Linked DNA regions of Tribolium castaneum. The protein of the gene in region 1 purifies or fractionates together with the protein of each later gene. This does not show direct contact. Links are inferred from orthologs where the notes say so. Each region holds a gene or a part of one and is shown in the gene's direction. Other genes may lie near its edges.

Region 1 (2,052 bases):
AGCTGGTCTCAAATTTCGAGCCCAATGACTTTTGCTCGGGGAATCACCACAGTCACATTAAAATAATCACGGGGCCTAACGGCAGTGGCAAAAGTGTGTATTTGAAGGAAGTAGCCCTCGTTATTTACTTTGCCCACATTGGCTCCTACGTGCCTGCCAGGAGCGCCAACATCGGGATTTTGCATTGCATACATTCCAGAATGCAAGCGACGGAATCGGCAGCCGTGCGCCTATCTGCATTTATGATTGACGCAATCCAGGTCTGTATAAAATTTTGCGAAAAAATTAATCGTAAATTAGGCCACGCAAGCGATTCATAACGCGCGCCACAACTCTCTGATCTTATTGGACGAGTTTGGCCGGGGAACCACCGTGGAGGATGGACTTGCTTTACTGGTCGGCTTTCTGGCCGACTTTCACAAACAAGGCAATAACTGCCCTCACATACTTGTCTCGACGCACCACCAAAGCATTTCTGATTTTTTACCGGAAGATGGTGTTGTTGAATATTTGAAAATGGCACATTCGGAGGAAAATGGGACACTTTTGTTCCTTTATAAAGTGGCGAAAGGTGTTTCGAGGAGTTTTGCGATAAAAATTGCGGCCGAAGTTGGCGTGGATGCGAGTATTATCAAACGGGCAAACGAATTGTTTGAAAAAAAGAAAACAGTCACGCCATTAGTCCGTTGTGAGAGTTATCCGGCTTCCGTTAATGATAGTGCGTTGATTGCGTTTTTAAAAGATGTTAATATTCCGGAACCAGATGAGGCATAATTGTGTTTGAATATCCCGCTTTAGTTTTGTTAATTGTTGGGTTGGTACGTGTTACGTTGGCGATCGTGTTGTTCAGTCAATAAAAACGTTTGTGTGAGTTTGTTTTTGTATTTAATTCATTGAAGCAAATTAAAAAAACGCCACAATGGCTTTGGCTATGCAAAGAAAGGCAAACGTAAGTCGTTAAATACCAAAAATTTGACCCAAAAAATGTTTTTTTTTATAGGTTAGGTTGCCCCCAGAAATCAACCGAATTCTCTACATCCGCAATCTCCCCTATAAAATAACAGCCGAAGAAATGTACGATATTTTCGGTAAATATGGGGCTATCAGGCAAATCCGCGTCGGTAATACCCCGGAAACTAGAGGCACAGCTTTTGTGGTTTATGAGGACATTTTTGACGCAAAAAACGCTTGTGACCATTTGTCCGGCTTTAATGTTTGTAATCGGTATTTAGTGGTTTTGTATTATCAGGCGAGTAAAGCGTTCAAGAAGACCGATATTGAGAAGAAACAGGAAGAGATTGATAAGATGAAATCAAAATACGGAATTAATACGTAAACATATTGTATTGTACATAATTTTAAGCTTTTTAAATAAATAATTACAATGAGAATGATTTTTATATCTAACGCAATTAAATCTCCCTTTAAATTCCCTTTCAATTCAGGGTGAGTCTGCTAAGAGTTTTTTTTTATGGGTACAAATTAAATGCACAGTATTTTATTTAAACGACAAGTATTTTTGATCAGTAAAAATAATAAACGCACAGTAAAAATAATAAACGCACAGTTAAAATAATAAATGCACAGTAATAATAGTAAATGCTCAGTAAAAATAGTAAATGCTCAGTAAAAATAATAAATGCACAGTAGATAATAGCATCTCAAAAATCGTTCGCGGGATATGTTTCGTTTTAGTTCGATGGGGCGAAGCCCCAGCCTGCAGGCTATCTATTGAGCGTTTATTATTTAAACCGTGTAAACTGAAACTAGATACTGTGCATATACGATTTTTTTACTGGGTAAATTTTAATAAAATACTGTGCGTGGTTTTGTCATTTAAATTTTTTACTGAGTAAAAATGGATTAAATACTGATCATTTATTATTTCTACTGTGCAAAAATTAATTAAATACTGATCATTTATTATTTTTTACTGATCAAAATCGAATTTATTAATGATCGCTTTATCACTACCCTTTTTTTACTATTGACTACATGCAGAGTGACCCAGTTTTTTCTATGAAAGATAAGGCACATTTTAAAAATATTTTG
Region 2 (2,579 bases), about 400 kb from region 1:
AATTATTACACATTGCGTATTTAAAGTGGGTCCTTCAGAAATTTGTGATGTGAGAAACCTTTCCCTCAAGTACAATTCGGCTCACAATTAATTATCATCAGGTGGTAATAAATCTTATCGCGAAACGCGCATTCTTCAAGTCTCATTAGCTCGGAAAAGTCACAAGGAAATTTTCTTCCAGATTAAGAATGGAACGAGTTTTATCACTCATCGGCGCGTAATTGGTGTAAGTTCAATGGAAATAAACCCGTTCGGTTTGGATAAACATTTGTGACGTCAATGAATAATTTGGCTCTTGTTTTTTGCTCTAAGGGGAAGTGAAGAAGACAATGGCTTGATTCGTTTCACGAAATCATTTTTTGATTAATTAATGACGATGCGGGGAATCCGACAGATAATAATACTTCAAACGTACATTCCACACATTCATTGTGTTTTTCTTATTGTTTAGCAACTTTTTTTAGCCAGAATTAGCATATTTGTGACCAACACAAATCGCTGAAATAAGTGTTGGCAGACGTGTTTTTGTATATAGTGAAGCCTTTGAATCCGAGCCATTTTTGTTTGGGGTTTTCCCGATTATGAAATTAATTTTTTCTTACCTAATTAAAATAAATAAATAACTGAAGCAGGACTTTTTATTACAAAATACAATAATGTAACATACGGAGTATATTATCAAATTATCATTATCAGCTGTTAACAGTTAAAAGTAAGTTTGTTTTTCGGGTTAGAAGGGGTTCGGATTAACGACGTTTTCCTGTATTTTTTCATATTTAGATTCCATGTTTTGATACAAAAATTAAATTATTAATTATTTGGTCCCAATGATTGATATTTATTGCTTCATCTTAATTTTGGAAATTTTTGGAAATTCAGGGAAATTGCGTTTGGGGCGCTCTCTACAGGTATTCGTGTAACAATTACAGAAACCTGTAACGGTAGTCGGTGAAATTGATGGCTTGTGCGTTGTTTGTTTAATTGTAATTTTTCGCTAAAACCTAATTATGGTGAAGCTAACAGCCGAGCTGATTCAAAATTCCATGCAATACATAAATCCGGTAAAAGACCGCGAGTTGGACTTACGAGGTGAGGACCAAATGTAAAAAAGTTGGGTTAAGTCATCTTTTTTTAGGTTATCGCATCCCCGAAGTGGAAAATCTGGGGGCCACCGGTGACCAGTTCGACACAATTGACTTTTCGGACAATGATGTGCGCAAGTTGGATGGTTTTCCGTACTTGAAGCGGTTGAAATGTTTGCTTTTTAACAATAACCGTATTGTGTAAGTTGTGGGGTTTTTTCGTTTTTTTTTTTTGAGTTTTGGGGTTTTAGACGCATTGGGGAGCATTTGGAGGAGTACATTCCTAATTTGGAGACGCTGATTTTGACTGGGAACCACTTGGAAGAGCTGGGTGATATTGAGCCGTTGTGCACTTTGGAGAAGCTCACCACAGTTAGTCTTTTACATAACCCTATCACTTCCAAGCAGCATTACAGGCTATACCTAATTTATAAGTTACCGCAGTTAAGGTTGCTCGATTTTCGTAAAGTCACAGCTAAGGAACGGGAAGAGGCGAGGGCTCTGTTTAAGAGTAAGAAAGGCAAGGAGATTAGGAAAGAAATTGGGAAAAGGGCAAAGACGTTTATTCCCGGAGGTACAGGTAACAGTATTGCCAAAAGTAAAGGTACGTCTTACATTTTCTGTGAGTTTTATTTTTTCAATTTAATTATTTTTTCAAGGCCTTACAGACGAAGAAATTGCGAAAATTCGTGAAGCTATCAATAAGGCCAGTTCTTTGGAAGAGGTTGAACGGTTACAGAAGATTTTACAGTCTGGTCAAATTCCTGGTCAAGAAGAAATGAACGGTTAATTTTTTCTATGATTTATTGTGGGAAATGTAATATTTTTTTTCAGGATATCAAAATGGACAAAGTATGGAATATGAATAAGTTTGAGGTAATTTTCAGTCAGGTGTACAATTAATTAGTTTTATTTATAAGTTCCGGTTGATAAGAGTATTGTACTACACTAAATACAAGGTTGAGAAGCGAGCGGAATTAATTTTTCATTTTTTCTAATAAAGCAATACGTACAATAACTGGGTATTATTTCAATCTTTCCCGACTGAAACAATGCCTTTCTGGCAAGATTTATCTGTTTCAGAAATTAATTGAACGAAATAAGCTAACAACAAATTTTGTTTTGCAGCTAATTTTTCGAAGAAAATTAGTTTTTAGTTTTCACAGCGAGCAAAAGTAATGTTAATTACAGAAATAAACCAGTTTTTTAAATTTTGCGGATTTTAAATTTGTCTGTAAACATGTAAAAAATAAAAAATTGTTTTTATCTCAAAACCGTCTTGCGAATACTTTTTAGTGGCTACTCGTGTCATTTTAAGAGCGCCTTGGAAATTGTGTCTAAAGTGACCGAAATACTTTTCAAAGTGTGTGGTAATAGTGGTTTTAGAATATTTCAAAGTTCAAATAAATTTTTTCATTTCAGAATGTTTTAGTTGATTTGGAATTATTTCTATAACAATTCGCGTCACTTATTTTATCTTTTTAATTTTTCATAATT
Region 3 (1,971 bases), about 15 Mb from region 1:
AAAAATCAATGTCCGGCAGTGAAATGTGCTCACTTTCATCGGTCATGTCGTAACTGTCTTCAGACTTTACAGAAAACTTGATAGTTTTCGGAATCTTAATAAACATATCAAAATCAACAGGTGATAACTTTGGAGATGGAGTCAACTCCTTGTAACCACAACATGGTCGCAGCTTGTTGAATTTTTCCTTTGCAGTAATTAATTTATCAGCAGCGCAATCATCTAAAACCAGAAATCAGATTTCGTCACACACAAATCTCGGTGAAAACCGTTCATATCCTTGAAGGAGTAAGTGTCGTAAATAAATAAGTCATCATCTTCTATGTCAATATTTTGCTCAGGCTTTTTCAGTTGCGGCTCGGGTTTCACATTTCTGCCAAAATCAGGCGTGTTTGCATTCACGGCTCGATCAAAAAACGGTTTTCTTGATAGGGTGTTAGTGGTTCTTGGCTTTTTTGCCACACTTCCAACGTCTAAAAACGACACTTGAAGATTATTTCACCGAACATCAAATACTCACTTTCTTGGGAGAAAACGTGGATTGCGGGTGAGGAAAACATCGAATTCATTGTTGAAATCGCTTCAGTTTCGGCAAATTGGAGCCTAACGTTCAAAGGGAATCAATCACTTTTTGATTTTTTATAGTAGTGTTGCCAACTTAACGAACTCAGCAACTTGATGAAATGAAATTACTAGTGTCTGGTGTCAAAATTTAAATTTATTTATTTATTTGTTGAATGTGGTCACGATTCTTAAGTTATATAGAAATTAGTTTGTGCTTCCGTAATACTCAAATCAAAATTCGACAATTAATTAATCATTTGACACGAAAATAAGAACGTCTAGCTGGCGTAACTGTCGACACTTCCAGTTCAACTGTCAACTGTTGTACACATAACCTAACAAATCTCGAAACAAAGCTCAACGTTTTCTCACGTTTTACGGTAAGTTCCTGAGTTTGGAATAACAGTATTGTTGAAACAAGATTTGTAGATCACTGAAGCATGGCCAAGCATCACCCCGATTTGATTTTTTGTCGCAAGCAGCCGGGGGTGGCCATAGGGAGGCTCTGTGAGAAGTGTGACGGAAAATGCGTTATTTGCGATTCGTACGTGCGTCCCTGCACTTTAGTGAGGATTTGTGACGAGTGTAACTACGGTTCGTATCAGGGCAGATGCGTGATTTGTGGAGGTCCAGGTATTTCAGACGCTTACTACTGTAAGGAATGCACAATTCAGGAGAAAGACAGGGATGGGTGCCCCAAAATTGTGAATCTGGGTAGTTCGAAGACTGACCTCTTCTATGAGCGTAAGAAATACGGGTTTAAGCGGCGCTAATGTGATTTTGTGTAATTAAAATAAATCATAAAATTTATTATCAGTCAGTCAATTTTCCTGTTATCATATTAAAAAAAATCTTTTTTTTAATTTTGTTTTTGCACTGTTTTCCTAGTTTTCTATAATGAAAAAATCAAGGAAAAAAAGTAGTTTAACGCGCGAGGCAATTCCGAGTATGATAATGTTTGTGAATAGACAAAATTTCATATTCATGTGTGCCATCTACAATATTTTTTACTGCCATCATATGATTTTGATAATGGCAGCGGCTTTTTGTCTTCGAAAAAATGACAAAAATTGACATGTTTTGAAGGATTTATTAGTGTCAGCGTCATATGTTATCAGCTTTGTTCGCGGAAGGTTTTTAGAACTAATCCTGAACTAGTCCAGGATTTATTTAAAGCGCGTGTGCGCTTCAGATTCAGTTACGGACTTTCGTCTACCGCGAACAATATTTTATCGTTATCAAGTTCTTAGTGAATGTTTAGAAACAAACAAGCCACCAAAAATTATCATAAAGTTAGAAATGGTATAAGTTATTGAACACAACCCATTTTTAAGTTTACAAACGTTATTTTTTTAATAATTTTGGTTTAGTAAGGTATTAAATAAATCTCGATAACCAAGACAGACT

The links.
Region 2: the proteins of Sf3b6 (region 1) and U2A purify together in Homo sapiens (affinity purification with mass spectrometry; 5 studies listed by BioGRID and IntAct, with this or other methods). This does not show direct contact. The link is inferred for Tribolium castaneum from reciprocal best matches to the Homo sapiens genes SF3B6 and SNRPA1.
Region 3: the proteins of Sf3b6 (region 1) and Phf5a purify together in Homo sapiens (affinity purification with mass spectrometry; 4 studies listed by BioGRID and IntAct, with this or other methods). This does not show direct contact. The link is inferred for Tribolium castaneum from reciprocal best matches to the Homo sapiens genes SF3B6 and PHF5A.

Annotation. Positions count from the first base shown.
Region 1 is NC_087395.1:21,528,395-21,530,446, forward strand, and holds Sf3b6 (splicing factor 3B subunit 6), read left to right. Parts: upstream 1-790; 5' UTR 791-919; coding exon 920-949; intron 950-1,000; coding exon 1,001-1,336; 3' UTR 1,337-1,391; downstream 1,392-2,052. Other genes in the region: mutS protein homolog 5, read left to right, coding at 1-260, 301-774.
Region 2 is NC_087395.1:21,925,384-21,927,962, forward strand, and holds U2A (U2 small nuclear ribonucleoprotein A'), read left to right. Parts: upstream 1-921; 5' UTR 922-1,007; coding exon 1,008-1,089; intron 1,090-1,135; coding exon 1,136-1,283; intron 1,284-1,333; coding exon 1,334-1,686; intron 1,687-1,741; coding exon 1,742-1,867; intron 1,868-1,916; coding exon 1,917-1,951; 3' UTR 1,952-2,053; downstream 2,054-2,579. UniProt on the Homo sapiens protein: Involved in pre-mRNA splicing as component of the spliceosome. Associated with sn-RNP U2, where it contributes to the binding of stem loop IV of U2 snRNA.
Region 3 is NC_087395.1:6,324,766-6,326,736, reverse strand, and holds Phf5a (PHD finger-like domain-containing protein 5A), read left to right. Parts: upstream 1-791; 5' UTR 792-944; intron 945-985; exon of another isoform or gene 986-993; 5' UTR 994-1,004; coding exon 1,005-1,337; 3' UTR 1,338-1,374; downstream 1,375-1,971. Other genes in the region: uncharacterized protein LOC655475, read right to left, coding at 1-222, 270-473, 521-569.